Linked DNA regions of Lonchura striata. The protein of the gene in region 1 interacts with the protein of each later gene in a biochemical or structural test. Links are inferred from orthologs where the notes say so. Each region holds a gene or a part of one and is shown on either strand. Other genes may lie near its edges.

The links.
Region 2: of the proteins of COIL (region 1) and VRK1, one has a biochemical effect on the other in vitro, tested with the Homo sapiens proteins (2 studies listed by BioGRID and IntAct, with this or other methods). The link is inferred for Lonchura striata from reciprocal best matches to the Homo sapiens genes COIL and VRK1.

The regions. Positions count from the first base shown.
Region 1 is NC_134621.1:7,703,740-7,713,719, forward strand, and holds the start of COIL (coilin), read right to left. Parts: upstream 4,180-9,980; 5' UTR 4,152-4,179; coding exon 3,904-4,151; intron 2,280-3,903; coding exon 1,106-2,279; intron 796-1,105; coding exon 709-795; intron 161-708; coding exon 113-160; intron 1-112. Other genes in the region: SCPEP1 (retinoid-inducible serine carboxypeptidase), read left to right, coding at 4,251-4,302, 5,190-5,335, 6,201-6,290, 6,985-7,140, 7,604-7,678, 7,883-7,955, 8,864-8,901, 9,085-9,213. UniProt on the Homo sapiens protein: Component of nuclear coiled bodies, also known as Cajal bodies or CBs, which are involved in the modification and assembly of nucleoplasmic snRNPs.
Region 2 is NC_134608.1:13,986,037-13,995,958, reverse strand, and holds the start of VRK1 (serine/threonine-protein kinase VRK1), read left to right. Parts: upstream 1-5,467; 5' UTR 5,468-5,553; intron 5,554-9,922. UniProt on the Homo sapiens protein: Serine/threonine kinase involved in the regulation of key cellular processes including the cell cycle, nuclear condensation, transcription regulation, and DNA damage response.

The DNA.
Region 1 (9,980 bases):
TAGAGTCAACTGGATGCAAGGAAAAACACTGCACAAAATATCAAAATATTTAAGCCATACTTCACCTATCACAGTTCTGTGAGTGAAAGAAGGAAGGAAAGAAAACCAGTACCTTATATTCTGAAACTTCAGGACTGTAATTCTCAGTTAGTTCCAGGTGCTGTTGAAAGAAATGCAAGTAACAAACTGTAACTTTTCCCAATCTTTGATGATTCCACCTACATCCAGACAGCTTCTTCAGCAACAGAAAGTGCAAGAGCCAAGTCTCTACTCCTGGAACCCAATGCCAATTATGGTCCCAGGTAGACTTCTAGGACTTGCTGTTCTAAAGGATTTACATTCAGGTCAGGCTGTGTGAGGGATCAGGGAGATGGATCCCAGTCTCCTCAACTGCCAGGATTTCATTTCTATTTACTTTTTTATTTTGCAGTGCAGTGTAATTATTTGTATGGTAAGATTTCCAATAATATTTACATGGAAAATTACATTGAAATGACAACAGAGACAGCATTTCTTGTGTTCTACAAATAAAGAAAGTCTGAAGAAATGCACTTAACTTCTGTATATATTCCAAACTTTGTCAAAAATCTTTAAGCCAGGCTTTACAACAAGTGAAATTTTTAAAGAAACAAGTTAGGTCAGAAACTTAAAGAGTGGCACAAATGAAGCAATTTTAACCTACTAACATTTAGCATTTCCAGAGTTTACCTTAAAGGCAATTCTTTCTCCCACTCGGGGTGGAGCAGCTAGAAGAGGTAACACACTATAGTCTCTCTTGGGAATCTCCATGGGATTCTGTGAAACAAAGAGTAACCCACTGATTTAATTACTGTATCAGTGAAAACAGAAGACAATGTTCATGCTGTTTGGATTGCAAGAATCACTGAGAAGAGCAAGGTACATGCTTTGTTTTTAGATATAGAATACAATCACTTTATTGCTGTTTCACAAACACATCCTCAGGCTGACAAACTGAATTACAGTAAATAAAAGATCAGCCTTTATCCCACTAAGCTATTTCTGCTGTTATGAGTTACTCTCATCCTATATATACTCTCATCAAGCTGCCAGAGAAAGGTGACCTCTGCCTGTGTCAGTCACTCACCTGGACAAGGACAGAAGTGTTTGTCGCAGCTTCATTTAACTGCCTCTGTTTCTGGCCTTCACTGCTGTAGTTATAGAAGAAGCCAGGGTTTGCTCCTCTCCCATGGCCCCTCATCATCCCACGAAACCCACGGCCCCTAGGTCCTCTCCAGAAGTTATCCTCTCCTGTTCCACGCCCCCTTCCACGGCTGGGGCAGGCAAACGGTCCTTGGACTCTGGCTGGCAACTGTTTAATGCACCTCGTTACTACGGAATTACACAGTCCAGCACACGCTGCTGCAGACTTTTTAATGACAAGTGTGTCTGAATCTGAACTATCAGAGTCTGAAGAGAAGCTCTGTGCTTTGGGAGCTTTGGTGCTGGCTTTTACAGCCACCACATGGTTTGGCACCGATTTTTCCTTTGCGGTGCTGTCTTGTGCTGGTGTCACCGTCTCATCCTCTGTACTCGAGTCAGAATCTGAACTAGAAGACCGGGGTTTTTTAGCATTTTTACTAATTGCAGTCTTAGTCTTTTCAGTGTTAGACTTTACAGTCACTTTATTAGTTTTCACATGAGAATCTGAAGCAGCTTGGGATTTGTCTTTGGGAAGTGTCACCACTACAGGTTTATGGGAAGATTTATTTTCCTTTATATTTAATTCACTGCTGTCACTGTCAGACGATGTGCTGGATGAATCTGAAGCTCCCACCCTCTTTTTCCTGGACTGTGTTGTGATCTTTTTGGTGCTATTTTTACCAGAATTTAGAGAAAAACTCTCATTTGCCTGTTCTAAAGACATCTTTGCTGCAGCAACCTTTGTCTGATTTTCATCCTTCTTTTTTGTTGCCAACTGCTTCTCCCTCTCTGTTTTTTTCATCTTTTTAGAATGGGAAGTAGAGCTCTCTTCCTTACCTTCTGCAAGCATATTTCTTCCCCTAACTTCTTCCTTTCTTTTTCTTTTCGTGTACCTTTTCTGAGAGTCCCAAGTATCTATAGAGGTCTCTTCCCTACAAGAGGAATACTCAAGTTTACGCTTCTCCTTTTTCTTTTTCCTTTTATGCTTGCCTTCATTCCTAGACAATTCTTCCTCATCCTCCTTATGTCTGTGCCTTTTTTTGTCTTCTTTTGTTGTGTAACTAAAGCCATCATCTATCTCTTCATAATCATCTGCAACTATCTCTTCCAATTTTACTCTGTTAAAAAAACAAACAAAAGCCACCGTTCAGCATAATGAACACTTTTCCCCACACGTGAGCAGCTCAGGCAAGTTCCCCTAGAGTGGAGATGCTCCAGCTCTTCCCTGGACAGTCCAGAACCCTCCCCTGCAGGCACAGGCTCCCTTTCCATCTTCAGGAACATTTCCAACTGCTCGGCTCCCTCCATCCTTTTGGACATCCTGAGGTGTCTCAGGCACTGGGAGTCAGTGCCCATGGGCACCCCGCTCCCACTCCACTGCCCAGGGAAGGAAGAGCTCAGACCCCCGGGGAAGTTCCATCCCCGTCCCACCAAAACCACGTGGAGATTCACTGAATCCCAGAATGGGTCAGGCTGGAAGGGACCACAGTGGGGTCATCTGGTCCCACCTCCCTGCCTAAGCAGAGTCATCCCAGAGCACAGGGCTGTGTCCAGAGGGCTCTGGAATATCCCCAGTGAGGGAAACTCCACATCCTCTCTGTCCCAGCACAGGGAAGCAGCTCTTCCTCCCGGTCAGGTGGAACTTCCTGGGCATCAGCTCCTGCCCGCTGCCTTTCGTCCCACGGCTCGCACCACCGGGCAGAACCCGCTCCGGCCTCTTGGCACCGCTGACAGACACTGATGAGGTGTGAGTGGGACCGACCGCCGATCCCGCTGTCCTGATCCCGGTCCCGGTCCCGCTCTCTGTCCGACCCCGCTGTCCCGCTCCGTATCCCGCTATCCCTATACAGGTCCCACTGTCCCTATCCCGCTCTCTCTGTCCGATCCCGCAGCCCCGGTCCCTGTCCCGGTCCCTGTCCCTGTCCCTGTCCCGGTCCCTGTCCCGGTCCCTGTCCCGGTCCCTGTCCCTGTCCCTGTCCCTGTCCCGGTCCCTGTCCAGGTTCCGGTCCCTGTCCCGGTCCCTGTCCCGGTCCCGGTCCCTGTCCCGGTCCGGTCCCTGTCCCGGTCCCTGTCCCTGTCCCTGTCCCGGTCCCTGTCCCTGTCCCTGTTCCTGTCCCGGTCCCGGTCCCTGTCCCGGTCCCTGTCCCTGTCCCTGTTCCGGTCCCTGTCCCTGTCCCTGTTCCGGTCCCGGTCCCTGTCCCTGTCCCGGTCCCTGTCCCGGTCCCTGTCCCTGTCCCTGTCCCTGTCCCGGTCCCTGTCCCGGTCCCGGTCCCTGTCCCGGTCCCTGTCCCTGTCCCTGTTCCGGTCCCGGTCCCGGTCCCTGTCCCGGTCCCTGTCCCGGTCCCTGTCCCTGTCCCTGTCCCTGTTCCTGTCCCGGTCCCGGTCCCTGTCCCGGTCCCTGTCCCTGTCCCTGTCCCTGTTCCGGTCCCGGTCCCGGTCCCTGTCCCGGTCCCTGTCCCGGTCCCTGTCCCTGTCCCTGTCCCGGTCCCTGTCCCGGTCCCGGTCCCTGTCCCTGTCCCTGTCCCTGTCCCTGTCCCGGTCCCTGTCCCGGTCCCGGTCCCGGTCCCTGTCCCGGTCCCTGTCCCCATCCCTGTCCCTGTCCCGGTCCCCATCCCTGTCCCGGTCCCTGTCCCGGTCCCTGTCCCGGTCCCTGTCCCCATCCCTGTCCCTGTCCCGGTCCCCATCCCTGTCCCGGTCCCTGTCCCGGTCCCGGTCCCTGTCCCGGTCCGGTCCGGTCCGCACCTCAGCGAGTCGTTGTCCCGCACGAGGCGCGCGCTCTCGGCGGGCGGCAGCAGCGCCCCCTCGAGGAAGAGGCTGAGGCGGGCGCGGCGGCTGAAGCCGAAGCGATGGCGGATGAGGCTGAGCAGGTCCGTGACGAGCCGCGCCTGGCCCGGCTCCAGCAGCAGCCAGCACAGCGCGCAGCCCGGGCTGGCCGGCGGAGGGTGGTCGAACACCAGCCGCAGCCGCAGCGGGCCGCCGCCGGCCGCCATCGTGAGATGGAGGAGGAGGAGGAGGAAGAGGCGGGGCGGGGCGGGGCGGGGCCGCAGGGCGGGCGGGCCGGTCCCGTGACCGCGGGAGCTGCGGGAGCGATGGGGCCGCTGCGGGCCGGGACCGCGCTGTACGTGCTGCTGCTGGCGGCAGGTACGGGCCGGGCGGGACGGGAGCGGGGCCTCTGGGCACGGGGCTCCGAGCAAAGCGCTCCTGTGTCCCGCAGCCGCTGCCGGGCAGGGCCCGGGATGAACCGCGCGAAATTCCGCTTGCCGGGGTGGCGGCCGGGCGGGACGGAGAGGGTAGTGGCAGTCCCGGCGGGAGCAGCAAAGCCTCCTTGGCTTGGAAAAGCCCTACTGCTCCTGCTCCATTGCGCTGTTGCCTTTTGCCCTGATCATTGAGATTAAGTGATGGAGTGTCAAAGGTCTGTTCCGTGCCCGAGATGGGCAGTAGACTGACTGCGTAAGGTGACCAGACTTTACCGACTGAAATTCTGTTTTGGATTCCTTTAGAAGTGACCCTCTGTCTGCCTGCATCTGCTCTCCTTGGGGGCTGTGAAGCGGTGCGGTCCCCGCACATCCAAGTGCTGGGATGAGTTCGGTTGTCGGGTCATGGGGCCAGTAACTCTAAGGCTCCGGGTTCGATCCCCGCCCGGCCCGTTCACGAAACGGTTGGACTCAGTTTTTTTGGTCCCTTTCAGCTCAGAATATTCTGTGATACTTATCGAAATTGCAGCTGGTTATGGGAGTTATTTCACTGGGGCTGTGCCTTCAGCCCAGGCCTTGAAAACACATCAAGAACAAATCATTCCAGCGATTTGGCTGTTATTCTGGCGGCAGCTCTCTTAATTACACACTTCATGACAATAACTCGGGTGTGGGTGTAAGTATAGGCAGATTTCTTATAATAATTTTCTTTAATAGTAGTAACGTTTCTAATTATCACACTCAAGATTGAAATGTAATGTTTTGGAACGATTCTGGTGGAAAGTCCAAAGCTGAGCCTTTTTACTTAGCTGATTGTTATTGTTTCCCCTCAAGGCGTAGTTCTGAGGCAGCCCCAAGAACCCAAAGAGGTGTGGGGATATGTGGATGTTCGGAGCAAGGCCCACATGTTCTGGTGGCTCTACTATGCAAATAACCCAACCAAAGACTTCACAGAGTTACCTCTTGTTTTGTGGCTTCAGGTAAGGTTTGGCGAGAGACACCAAAGCAATAATTCTTTCCATCTGTGCCTGGTTCAGTCTGATATCTGATATTGTGCAGCTCTACAGAAACAGGATTCAAAACTGCCTAGTTCTAAATGCCTTGCCTTGTGAATGAGGTATTCGGGTTGGGAAAAATGAGAGTGGTTTCATTCTGCAGTTGTGGGATGTCCTCAACTGCTCACCTTCCATCAAGTTTGATTGCAATAACAGAAGTTGTTCTTATCTTTCATACAACAGTAGTGATTTTTGTGCATTGTAATTTCACAGCTCCTTTCCTGAAGAGTTTGTAGTCTAAACAATATTCAGAGAGAGAAATAAAATAACCAGAGATTGAGGATGATTTCTAAATGGAAACAATCCCAGTTTGATAAAAATGGTGGTGTGTTCTCTACAGTACATTGCAGAAGTTAATGTTGAATAGAATCGCTTGAGGACTTGTTCTTACTCTCTCTGGATTGTTTCATCAGAGTGAAACCCAAAGGCTGTACATGCTGATTAAGCTAATGACTTGCAAAGTCCCAGTTAGCAGTTAGCTTTTGCACTCCATATTCAGGGAATAAGGTTTTGAAACTGTGCTCAAATAGCAGGCAGCTCACCAGAAGCTCTCACAAGTGGGTGACTGCTTCTCTGTTGAATTCTTGCTTTCAGAAATGGCATGTGTGTGCATAGCCCAAGACCATGAGGAACAGATCCTGCTCTACAAATTAATGTGTACTGCAAAAACCATTTCTAAAAATTTACAATCTGTCATTCTACTTACTGGCTGTCTTGTATTTTTCTTCCATCTGTCATATCTGTGCCATGCTGCCTTTTAACATCTGTGTCATTTGATATTTCCCTGCAGGGAGGTCCAGGAGCTTCAGGCTGTGGATATGGGAACTTTGAAGAGATTGGTCCATTAGACAAAGAAATGAAACCAAGAAATACAACCTGGGTACAGTAGAGAGTTCAGCTTCTAACTACTAATTACAAATGTTTGTTTGCTTGTGTGAGCAGATGATGACTACACAAAAAAAGCACGGAACAGTTTTTCATTTAAAGTTCAGTAGAACTATAATATTTCAAGTTAAAGTATTGTGGTTAATAAGTTAGCTGATAGGAATAGCCTTGTTCAAAACTGAGGGGTAGACATTAATTTGATTTGATAAAGTATGTCTGGTCTTCCATGGAACTGTGAAATGGGAAACAGAGCAGGGAAATTGTAGAAAGTGTTCTTTCAAATCACAGCTCCATTGTGTGCAGTCACAGAGTTTTTTCTGGGTGGCTGGCAGCGTAAAACCTATGGCTTATAATTACAGGTCCAGTATGGCCTTCAAGGGAGAACAAATGACAGCTGCCTGTGAAGGTGGAAGTTTAATTAGAGCAATATATCTGTGCCCTGAGTTACCAATAGACTGAAGTACTCGGAGTTCCCCTAGGTGACCTGCCCCTGGATCACTGGGAGTTTTTTTGGCTGTATTTCTCATTACAGATTGGGCAAATTGAAGGCCTTTATGTTGCACCTAATTTTTCTGCAAGTCTTTTCAGGTCCAGGGATTTGCTGGCTCAGTTAATCATTTGTGCCATCAAAACTAAGATTTTTGCTGGTGCTGAACTGAGGTTTTATACAAACTTTTCTGCTTCTGCAGTTGCAGGCAGCCAGTATCTTGTTTGTGGATAATCCTGTGGGCACTGGATTCAGTTATGTGGATGATTGTAGCTTGTTTGCCCAAAACCTTACCGCAGTAGTTTCTGATATGATGGTTTTTCTTGGAGAATTCTTCAAGGGTAGAACAGAATTCCAGGTAAGTGAATTGAAATCTTGTTTATTGTTGTATTTTTCTCTGCTTTTAAATATAATTCAAAAAGAATTAGGGAACAGACTTCCAAATGAACAGTGTTTTGCTGCTAGGTAGTGTGTGGTGCAAATATAACCACTGTCTCTTATTTTCCACATTTCAGAAGTTGTATCTTGATTTTGGGGTTTAGTTAGATAAGCATTGGGGTGGAGTTCTGTCTGTTGAGTTATCCGAGCAGCATATACAGGATCACAGCTGCTTATAGTTCCAAAATGCTTCAGAACCAACCCCAGCAAATCACCAGGATGTTATGGAAACCTAATGTGCAGCTTAAAATAAGAAAAACATTAAATGTTTGAGGATGAGAGGTGAACAGCCAGTGCCTGGGTCCTATGGGATCTGGGAGATGATTGGAGGCATCTTCTGCCCTCCGCACAACAAGTTCCTTGTGTGGTTTTTCTCTCCCCAGACCATCCCATTCTACATATTTTCTGAATCTTATGGAGGTAAAATGGCTGCTGGGGTTGCTTTAGAGCTGCACAATGTAAGTACTTGAAGAATAAAGTTCACTTTTCACTTCAAAACAGGGGGTTCTACAGGTACTTTTATTTTCTGGAATACACTGTCCCTATTGCCTAATTCACAGTGCTACTTACTTTTTTCACTTAATGAGAACTGTTTCTAGAGTCACGAATAACTAAAATTTAATTATTGGTGTTTTGTTTTGGTTTTCCTCTTATTCACAAAGGCTGTTCAAAAAGGGACCATAAAGTGCAATTTTATGGGCGCTGCTCTTGGAGACTCGTGGATTTCACCTTTGGGTATGTTTAAACTCCTCAGACTGTGGATGATTTGTTGTTGTTATTTTGTTTTGTTGGGTGTTGTAATCATTCCATGAGTACCTGAAGTCAAAAAGGCCATCCCTGCCTTAAGTGAATTAACTCTCTAGTGAGTCTGGTAAATCAAAAATAAATACTACAGCCTTGCAAGTCTTCTTGTGACTGATGAATCTCTCTTTAGAATGTATCTAGATTAGGAAAAGTCAGAGAGGAAGGTCAGCGAGGAACACACTTGCATCTGAAGTGGAGGGGATGGTAAAATGTTCCTACACATCTCCACAGCCTCTGAGGTGTTTTTGGCTGAAATGTGGCCACCAAGCCATTCATGAGGCTGCAAGTGAGATTTGTGTCTGGTGAGGATAAAAAGCAAGTTAAAGGGCTTGTGGTCCTTCAGTGGTATTGGCAAGGGCAGGCTTCACAGATTCTCTGCAGCACAGAACAAATACCAAGCAAACTCTTATCTGTCTGCCATCATCTGGTCCTTGAGAATTACAAACAAAGTTGTTATAAAACAGATTTGTTTTATAGCTCAGTTTTTACCTTGTGACTTTACAAAGAGATAAGTTTAGATAATTCCCATCCTCTTGTTAGACCTCTACCCATGTTTGGCAATGTGCTGTAATGCTGGGGGGAGAACACTGGTCAAAATGTGTTGGTTGCTTTAAATAAATTTCACTGGTTAACTCATAGGGGATTAATGATGTTGCAGGACTTGTAAAGAACTTGCTCTGCGGTACATAACTTTAGGGTTAACTGTACCTTTTTACTGATTAAGTAATCTCCATTTATTTTTCTCATAAGCATTGTTGCCCCAGTAAAGGAGAAGTCAGTTAAATCTTACATCAATAACTGATTATCAGTTTGATGTTTGAAATCTGTTCTTTGTTTAGACTCTGTGCTGTCCTGGGGGCCCTACCTTTACAGCACTGTAAGTACCTTCTTAAACTCCTGGTTCTCACCTGATCCCTTGTGCTGCCATACAGTACAAATGGATGTTGAATTTTAAGATTACCTCTTGGCCTGAATAAAACCTAAAAAGCATGGAGGCTGTTAGCAGTAAATGGATGTGGAATTGTAATTGAAGCTGTCCTTCTTTGTGTTTGTCTTCCAGTCTCTCCTTGATGATAATGGTCTAGCAGAGGTGACTGCTGTTGCCAAAGAAATAATGGATGCAATAAATAAAAATCAATATGGGCTGGCTACTGAGCTGTGGGGCAAGGCTGAAAGTGTCATTGAAGAGGTAGGATCTTTGACTAACATTAAGAATTAACTGCTGCCTGGGGAGGCACATGATTTCAAGTTACCCTTTCTATGAGTGCTGAGCTGGCATGAATTTTTCAGTCTTCTGCCTAGTCACTTTTGCCAGGATTTGTTGTATCCCAGTGCTGATATAAAGGAGTGTTTGCTATGCCCTGCTGGCAGAGTGACAGGCAAAGTGGGCAGGACAGCCCTTGTGGTCTTCCAGTATTGCACTGAGGTTTCAGCATACAATAGTCCTCTTGATTCCACAGCTTCAATTTAAATAAACCGTATCTGCTGGAAAGCTTTGAGTACTGAAAACTGCATCCACCAAGATAAAAACTTGAAGTTAAGCACACATCTCTATTTGAAGAACTACAATAGGTGCACAGGATGGAAAGGAACCTAGAGTTTATGGTCTGTTACTGTGGGTCATTGCATCTCGTTACTTAGAAAGTTCCAGCATAAAAGACTGGTAAAGTTTTGCTTTGGTTTCTCCTGTTAAAAGGTTCCTCCCAAATCTAATTCATTGTTGCATCTCATTCTTTAGTACACATAAGGCTCTGACTTTCTTGGACAGAAAGGCTAATCTGGAGCCACTTCCTTTTTTTAATTTTTTTGGGTGGTTTTTTTTGAGTTTTTCTGTTTTTGTTTTTTTCCTTCTGTGATTCATAACTGACAGTGCCTTGCACATAGCTGGTTTCACTTCTTGCTGTTCAGAAGGAACTTTTGGTTCCTGTTTTACTTTTCAAATCTACTTGGCTTCCC
Region 2 (9,922 bases), on another chromosome or scaffold:
ATATTCCAAAATCTGACTGACAGCTTGATTACAGTAATGCATGTGACTAAATTCAGGGTGTGCTGGTGTAACGAAAGAGGGAATTGTCAGTGGTAATCAACTGTATTTTTGTTAAATTTTGTGGAGCATTTCTTGCTCTTAGGTTGGAGTACATTGAAACCAATGAGACACCTAGTGGTAGCAGTTTTTTAGAGTTTCGTAGTGCCATTAGAGATTGGGGAAAACCAGTTCTTATGCAAATAATGTATTTTGTTACACGTCATGTAAATATGTTGTAGATTAGCATGGTCATGAACACCAACACTATGCAGTACAGTGGCATAACAGGAAGGATTCCATTCTACTCTCAAGTACAGAATAGCAGTTCTGTAAGTACTTTTTCTTCTCCAGACAGATATTTCTGTATAAAAAAAAGCTTGCCAGAAGACAGGCAAGTACGAATTATAATGATTTGCAGCGTTTTGTTTTTAATTTTCATTGTATTACTTCTCATTCCAAGGAAACAGTCAATGACTTCTGCTCCTTTTACTTCCTCAAAGAAAGTTTGTATGAGACAATTAATTCACCAAAAAAACTATTCATATGAATATGGATTAACTTTTGATATTAAAAAAGGATGAAATGTGCTAATTTTCATTAGCTTTTTGTTTTTTTTTTTTTTTTTTCTCTGAACAATGGACTCCTCAGGCAAAAACTGCTGTCTCTAATCTTACAAAAGATTTCAGGTGTTTTAGCATGTAGTTTATAAGTAAAAATATTAACTAAATGATAAATTTTTAGTGCTCCATCTCATGAAACTGATGGATAAATGCAGATATTATTACCTAGATTTGAATAATTCAAGGTGCCACACAGTATAATTGACTCAAAACTGTGTTCCTTCATGGGTCTGCTGATATCTGCTAACCTGAATATTTTGCCTGCACGTCTCTTCCACAAGTTTTCCTGTCCTTTCAAAAGTCTCCCTTACAACTGCAAAATCCATTCCAGGCCAATATTCTTCCCTTGACCCAGATTTTATTCCCTTTTAACAGTCTGTAACCACTGACTTGTCAGAAACCAGGTTATCTATATTTGTTCTATTTTGGGGAGTGAGGAGACAGGATAGAACAACTAACAAGGCTTTTGAATTTATTTGGTATTTACTGACTGTAATATCTTTGAACAAATGCTATGTTTTCCTCTGTATCTGGGTAGCATTCAGTAAACTTTCCTTCTTGGCAAGGTGTAGTTGGTAAAAATATACAAATAAGATGAAATATAATAAAGTGAAAGATGAAAAAATATATAAAGCTGGCATACTCATTTATTTTCTATGAAAATAATTGAAGAGATTGCTAAAGTAAAAAGTACATAGTGATTCTTTCTTTTTCCCAACACACAAATATATTTTCAAAAAGTGTGCAGAAATATGCTACTTTTTCTATTTTTAAGCAAAAGAGTTAATACTGCATTGTTTAAAAATCCGCTGTAGAAAACATATGACAGCTTGGTGACCTTGGAAGTGATAGTGATGTCTTTAAGCAGCGGGAAATATGGAGCTGTAGATAGGGAGTACAAGGCACAGAGCTCTCCCTGTTTGAATAAAAAGAGGGTTTTAAAAAATATAACCTCATTCTTTTGTGCATTTTTCTAGAGTCAAATCACCTTAAGAAATCACTATTTGATCAGGAAGTCCACAGCTAAGTATAAGCTCACCTGATTCAAGAGATTTATATCCTCTGAGCTACAAAGAATAGCAAATAATAAGTTTATAGAATTCTGGTTTCTTATTTAAATAGCATATAGTGACAACACTACTATTTAGCAGAGAAGTGTTTGGAGGTATGCTAATGACCACAAGAAAATTTCAAACCTCCATAATGTGCTTTAATCACCAGCTGGAGATCAAAAGCCACCATGTGATTTTATACAGCATGGGCAGCTTCCAGAACTGCCTTACATGGAAAGAGATCAATGGTAAAATTGGTAGATACAGCAAAGCTTTGCAATAAAAGCGTTTTATGTATCTTGTTCAAAGTATTTAAGTGCCTTTTAGATCACTGATTGAACCATAGACATTATAAAGTGGAACCTTTTAATACCAAAATAAATTTGCAGAGTAAAATTCCATTACAGGAAAAAGCATTGCACTGCAACAGGACAGATAATAATTCTTTCACATGTAATGGAATATAAGAAATGTTTGATGATAAACAGAAGTTCTTTGCATCGTTACAGCTGGATCCTATGCACTGCTGTTTGTGTGCATGTGAGTGAATCTACTGTGTAGGATATACAGTGCCCCCAGATAAAATGCATTTCTACCTATAAATATAACTTTAACTGGGATGGGGGGAGACACTTCACAGTCAAGACAATTCAGTCATTTAAGTCAAGAAAAACTGCCTATGCATATGAGTTTGGACCTTGACCAAAGAAAACATAGAATGCTTTAGAAACTCATAGAAGTCCTTTAATTTGGATTAATTTAATGCACTTCAAACAAGCTCTCATCTTAGAAGCTTCAACTTATTTAAAATTATTTCCTTTAACAGCTTCAAATCATGTGTCTGTTAGCATCACAAAACTACCAGGAAAAAAGTGAAACTTCCAATGGATCTCTCTGTGTAGCTTTTCTTTCACAGTGTTTTCATCAATTCTTCTAATACTTCATCCCCTTTCTATTGAATTATTGGGTACTCTGTAGAGATTGGATGTCTTCTACCCCATATTCCATTCCTCTCTTTAACAAATTAACTATTCTGGGAATGAAAACAGATGATATTTTAAAAGAGCTGCAAGATATAAAAATATTTTTCCTGCCTCAGCATCTTAATTTTGAATTTTAAATGTTTTGAAAAGTACAATTAATGATGTCCTTTTAATTCATAATATAGAATTAAGAGTCAAGCAAACCAGGTCTTACTTTGAGATTTGTTCCTAATTTTTTATACTTCAAGCTAAACAAACTTTACTCAGCACCTCTGTGTCTGATTCTTAATTTGTAATACGGGGTAAATATTTATTTTGCTGAAGTGATTCTTTATTACATTCTTTAGGAAATTGACCTTAACAAAGGCCAATATTTTACCTCCCTTTGGTGAGGAAAACTTAGATGATGTCCTTATCTCATGGGGAACTTTTTAGACAGATATGCATTAACTTCACTGAGTAAATAAATACTGATTCATCAAATTGATTAAGTATTCAAAATAACAGTTTCTTATTCACTGCATTCTGAAGGAATTAAAAAACATAAATTTATATTCCTTCCCAAAAATACAAAAATTAGCTTAAACTTGTAAAGACACCTGGAAAGATTGGCAAAACCAGTTTTGTTCCTATCTACCTTTTAACAGCACTTGGACATAACTGGACGTTGTACTGGTCTCCTAAAATACACACAAGCTCAGAGGTTACTGGGTAAATCAGTTTAAATTCTTTCGAAATGTATATTAATGGATAAACAAGACAACTCTGGAGTGCCACACTGATATTCTTAGAGAATAGTGATTACTCTTTTAAAGCTTAATAAAAGCCCATTAGATGAAAAAAGCCACAGCCTTAATTGAATTTATACAACCACTTTCCTGTGAGGAAAATAGCATGAAATGTGAATGGGAGGACAAAAAGTAAGTTTGCAGTGAATACATTTTTCCCTTAGTGTCAGTATATTCCCACTGCAGGATGATAATGGGGATATGATGGGAAGTATAATTCCTTGTACACCAGAGCAGGTGGTGTGCAGTGGGTGCATGGCAACAAAAGATACTGAATCAAAAACTTGCTCCTTGGAAAGTGATCATACCACTGCTCTTTTTCAGACTATTTATGGACTCTGACCATAAGTTTTTTAGCAAAATCTTCTGTGGTCCAGTAACTCGTGAGTTCTGCAATTTGAAGAAAATACTGAGATGATTTTTTGCTACAGTAACCTTAAGCTCTACTTCCATGTGTGGTCCTCAGCCCCCAGTTAGGACAGCTGAGTGTAGTGCATGTGTACCCTTTTATCAAGTATCCGTGGTGGCACAGTCTCTCCATTCATTTTGGAACTGTTTACTAATTTGTTTTTGTGGTTTTAATGCTTTGTGCATGTCATTGTATGGCATGGTGTTTTAGCAATGTATATGCATTTTTCTTCTCATTTTGCAAAGCAGAAAAATAAAGAAGATTGCAGAAAGAGAACATATATTGGAATTATAAGACATTTAATTCTATAATTTTTCAGAGAACGGAAATGTGAAGAACATAATTTACTTTAGACCTTGAGTACTACATTCTATTAAACTAAAATGTGATTAATATGTAAAAGTGGAATATTTTTATTAAATTTATCATTTAATTTTCCTCTAGCAGCATCTTAAAATGGTTTCATGATCCCAGTAATTCAATACCAGAGTGGATGGTACTGCAAGTGAAATGCTACCATGGGTGGTAGTGTTCTTCACTTAGTTCAAACAAACTTTTGGTCTTTCCTATAACAGGAGTACCCTAGAACATACAGAACAGCTCAGATTCTTGAACATCTCTAGTAGCACTTAGTATTTCAAAAATACAAATCTAGTATTCTTAATGTAACCCAGGTGGTCAAGGAAATCTATTGTCATGATGAACATACCACAGAATGACAGTTCTTTGTTTGAGGCTGTTTAGTACCTCTAAAACTGCAGCATGTGAGGATGGTGGCCATGAAATCATAATGCCCTTTTAATGGTTTGAAACACCCAGTAAATCAACAAAACAAATGCATTGTCCTTTTATTTTCTTGCCTCATCCCCTAAATTCCCTGGTTTGCCAGGGAATAGGAAATCTTTTGTCTTCTGCTCCCCTCTCTGACTTCACAGCTCGGCAGAATCAGGGGTGGATGCGCGGACATTTGTACCTGACTATGAGAGGAGGAGGAATCACCGTCCCTGGCGGAGGTTAAGGAAAGGTTGGACTTAGTGCCCTGGTCTAGTTCACCTGCTGGTGTTCGATCATAGGCTGGATTCGACGATCTTTCCTAACCTAACTGATCCTGTGGTATCAGCTTGAGAAAGGCCTTCCCAAACTTACCACAGCGTAGAAACCAAGGTTTCCTGTAACTCTCAAAACTGTTTCACTGAAAAGAGCTGTGAAGCACCAGAACAGGCTGCCCAAGGCAGTGGTGGAGTCACCACCCCTGGAAATGTTCCACACGCATGGATGTGGATTTCAGGCACGGTTTTGCAGTGAACACGGGTGTTAAAGCTCTTCTCCAACCCAACCGACTGCAGGACCGCAAACAACTTCAGCTCCTGAGCGATCTCGGGCCGCGGTGCCTCTTGGGAAGTGTGGTTCGTGTCGAGCCTCCTGCGGCTACTTTCTACAGCTATGGACTACACTTCCCAGCAGGCATCGCGACAAGGGCGGGACGGAGGCGGCGGGCAGCGCTCGGCGGACCAATGAGCGCGGGCGGTGCTGGGAGGTGGCGGCGGGGCGGGCGGGCCGCCCGGGGCCGCGGGCAGTGCGGGAATTTCGGAGCGGGAGGAAGGAGCGGCCGGGCCGCTGGCGCAGGAGGTGCTTGGAGCCGGCGGCTGCCTCTGGGTGCAGGTGTTTGCTTTTTTTTTTTTTTTTAAGGAGGCGAATTTTAGGGCACTGTTTCGCCGTGCCGAGCATCCCCGGCCCTTGTGGCGGATTGCGGGCGGTTTTCCCCCTTCCGTCGCGGAGGAGGCCGGTGCTACCGCGGGGCCCGCCCGAGCCTTGTTCCTCCCCGGGGGCAGGGAAGGCCCCTTCCTCTTCCCTTCCCCTTCCCTCCCCTTCCCTTCCCTCCCTCTCCCGGCCCAAGCCGTGGCCGGCGGGGGGGAACAGGGGCAGTGGGGCAGCGCTCCCACAGTTTCACCCGTGAGGTCTGGGGACCCGCCGATCCCTGCTGTGGGCTCTAAAGCGGCCTTAGGCAGCGGCCTATGTTGTTTTACTTCCCGTTTTTTTGTTTTTTTTTTTTTTTTTTTTTAGCACTAAAGCTTGGAGGAGGAGGCTGAATAAAAGCTGTGCTCTGTGTCACTTTAGAGGTTCGTCACTTTCGGGACTGTCTCGGTGTGGCAGCACCTTGGCTGGGAGGTGTGCCTAAATTTTGCTTTAAAGTAATTTTTTTTTCATACACACCTACAAATCACAAACAACTGTAATTTTAGGATCAGGGAAGGCCTGGTGTGTAAGAATTGAGCTAAGTTAGTTTCTGTCATTGGTTATGGTTTTTCTTAACTTTCTACTTCTTGCAATTTGACTTCCCTGTGTAAGACTTCAGCAGTTGCAGACAGGGTGAGCTCTGTTGTTCTCTTTGGTTTTCAATTTATGCTTAAGCACTCTAAGAACTGTAGGCTTTTATTAATTTATGGGGAATCCATGGATCCTTTTTATGGCTAAGAAAAATATAAAAGCTGTTGTGAAGCTTCCTGTAACTATTACTGTGTCAAAGGGCTTGTGCTATCATCTGAAGGAATAAGCTGTCCACTAAATTCTTGGGGGTAAATCTCTAAGTGAGGTAGGATTCCTGATGAATTTCAGAGCTGATGATTTTTATACAGTGTGCTAAATTATCAAAAAGCCTTTAAGTGTCTCACTCACATATGTTAGGTATTTGCAGTTGGTGTAGGGGTGAGGTGATTTGGAGTGATATGATTTGGTATCTTACAATGATCACTGTTTTTTATTGCAACAACTGAGTGATGATTAAAATTTTCAGGAGAACCTTAAATAACCTTAAAAGAAACTTTAAGAAAAGTAATGTTTTCTTGAGAAAGCAATTTAAAATTAGTAGCACAGTAGTTCCACTTGTAAATGACTGTTTCCTACCTGTGAACAAGCTGCATTCTGAAATACTATGTTATCTTGGTTTATTCAGCAAAAAAAGGAAAAAAAGGCATTTCCTTGGTCAACTGTGGTGCTGTTGTGGTTACATATTTCTCAGTAATTGTGGCCCACCAATGGCATTTATTTGTCTAAAAATACTTTTTTTCTTTGGGGCAGAACTGTAGTGCTTCCTCTTCTGTGAGTGCCATAAACTGTTCAGTATCTTAATCAGGAACTTAGATTGGAGAGGTTTTCACAGAGAGTCAAGGAATGTTTGATTTATGCAAGAAAGTCTTTGTTCACTGTTCACCTCACTTGGTTTGACAAGTCACCAACACATCAGTTATTTTTTGGGTTGCCCCTCCCATGAAACAGCTCTACAGTTTTCAGGAATCTTTAAGTGTCATATTCTTTCTACCCTACTCATTGAGAAAAAGTTTAGTTTTGTTTTCTCCTTGTCTTAATTTTTTTTTTTTTAGGCAGATGTGGATTTCTTGCTTTGACTAACGACCAATTTAATGGTGCATAGATTTCAGGTCTTGCTGGAGCTACCTGCTCATCTGGGAGCACAGCATGCCTTCACCAGCATGCCTTCTCTGGGTTGACAATGAAAATATGTCCTACTAAGATAAACAACTGTAAAAATTACAGTTTCCAGAGAATAAAAGAGGATGATCAGGAAGCAACCAGTTTGACTTGACACACAGCAGAAATTCCTTCAAAATAAAATTTCTTTCAGAGTTTTGTCTATAATGAATGGCAACAAGACTTGAGAAGTGGCTATTCATATTTATTCTAAGAGGTCAAGTATTGCTTAAGTAGCAATAGTAGCAGGCAACATTTGTAAAGATAACACCACTGATATGCAGACAATTTTACATGTGTAGTGCTATTTCAAGTACAGTGTATTCTGTTTCTTCCAAGATGTTTTATTAGGAAGAAGCCTTTGTAGTACTGAGAGGCTTCTGGAGAGAGTTTAGACAAATAGACTTCTGTTATTCATACTTTTTAGTAGGAAAATCTTTGTTTTGAGCACATTTTAGCAACAGAAACTGCTGCTGTTTACAATCATGCACCTTGAATATTGTTCTTGTCAGGCACCTTAGCTAAGTAGGGTCAGGTCTGACACTTGAATGATAGTACAGTACTTGACATCCATGGCACTGTTTTCAAGGACTTTAGCATGATTGCAGGAACTAATGAATTAAACTTCACAATACCTGTGGATGGAAAATACTTCCTTTGTTGATGAAAAGAAGTCTTGAGAGGAAAGTTTAAGGTTTTTTTTTTTTCTTTTTGGAGGGATGGTGGTGGTGAATTTTTAAAAGTGATTTTAGGGAGAAGTAGATGGCTTTATTCCAGTTCTGCAGTGTAGAGTAGACAGCTCTATGTCATGTTTGTTGGTGCAAAAGTTTTCTGACAAACCCCTTGTGTTTGCTGTATTATGATTTGAAAAGCATATAGAATGATAGAATTTGTAGTAATTTTAATTGCCTTTTTAAATTTTTTTATTGTGTTTTTTTTTCTAGTTCTGTCTTTTCATGTAGAAAATTTCTGTGGTGTCCAAGTGTCTTTGGTGTCAATCAGTAGAAGATATTTGAATGGATTTATCCAAATAAATGTGAAAGCATGTGCAGCCATTGCTTAAATATTTCCTTGGCTAACAGCTTTTTTGCAAGAGATTGAGTGCTTAGTATTGTGCATGCTGCCCATTGCAAGCGATCAGTGTTTGGCACCTATGGCCTACTGATAGTTTGACCAACTTGTAAGTAGGCACAGTGCCATGTTAACAGATGGGTATGAATACAGACAGCCAAGAAACCATGTATGTGTATCCAGTGTATTTGTTAAGGGCAGGGTTCCCAGCTGGGGACATTCAAACTTATGTCCATTTTGAATTTTTGCTTTTATGGATAAAGGGAAGTTGTCATTAACAATTTTTTATTTAAATAAATACCTTCAGGCATACAATTATTGACCATGTTAAACAAAATAAGAAGGGGTGTGGAGGAAGAGGGAAGCATCAGCTCTTCCTTTGATACTCTTGAGGAGCTATTTTAACTAAATTTAATTCCTTTTCAAGCAAGGCTGCTATCGAGAGTCTCACTGTGAATGTCAAAGATGTGCAATGTATCAATAGGTTTGTTTCACAGGCTTGCTAGCCTTATTGTAAGAGAGGCTACAAATTTTTCTTTTGTGGGCAACAATCTGTCCAGCATTCAAGCACTTAAGTGCATTTGTTCAAGTCTTGCCTGAATTATTTGTAATAACTCAGAGGTCAAGGAGGGGAGGTTCTTCAAGCCCTCTGCATAGTTCTTATATTAACAATAAATTGTTTCTTAGCTTGACGACAAGTATGCTTATTTTGGATATATTTTGGTATCCTTTAGATGGCAGTGTGTGTGATCTTGTCACACATCTGAGTCACTGGGCAATGCTGCTGATTTTCACACTATCTTGCCTTATCTGAGTCAGCTTTGGGGCTCTAGACTTCTGGTGTATTTCATTAGCACTTCTAATAGTTTCAGTCTGCCCTTTGTTTTAATCCATTTCCGGATTTAGATGTCCTGTGAAGCTGCTTAAGGGTCTGCAGTGATCTTTCTGGCCTGCTCTTGTAAGTGATATCAACATGTAGGCTTTTCTACTGCTCTGTTCCTTCTGACACTTTGACACCATTGCATTCTCATTGGTTTGGTCTTATCTGAGCTGGCTGGAATTGTCTTTGGTGCTTGAAAGTCTCATTTTTCTCCTGCAGAAAATCTGGAGGAAGGATCTTCCTCCAAGACAGTAAACTATGTATCACCTTGAAGATTAAAAAAAGAAAAGGAAAGACAAAGGGATGTAGAGAGGAGTTTCTTGAAGATGCTGTGGATAATAATGTGGATAAAGCTAGTCTTAAAATTTATGTGTAAGGTGTGTCTTGATAGTAGGGAAGAATGTTACTGTGTAGAAGTGGTATGGAAAAGTAACACAGAATTAAAACATCCTGTTTTGTGATAATGATAAAGCTTGTAAAATGTAGGTATTGATAAATATTAATATCTTCCTGTGATGTATTTCATAGAAGTGTTTTGTTGAAGTTTCTCGTTTAGATATAAGTAATGTATTCAGATGTGATTCCATGACACAA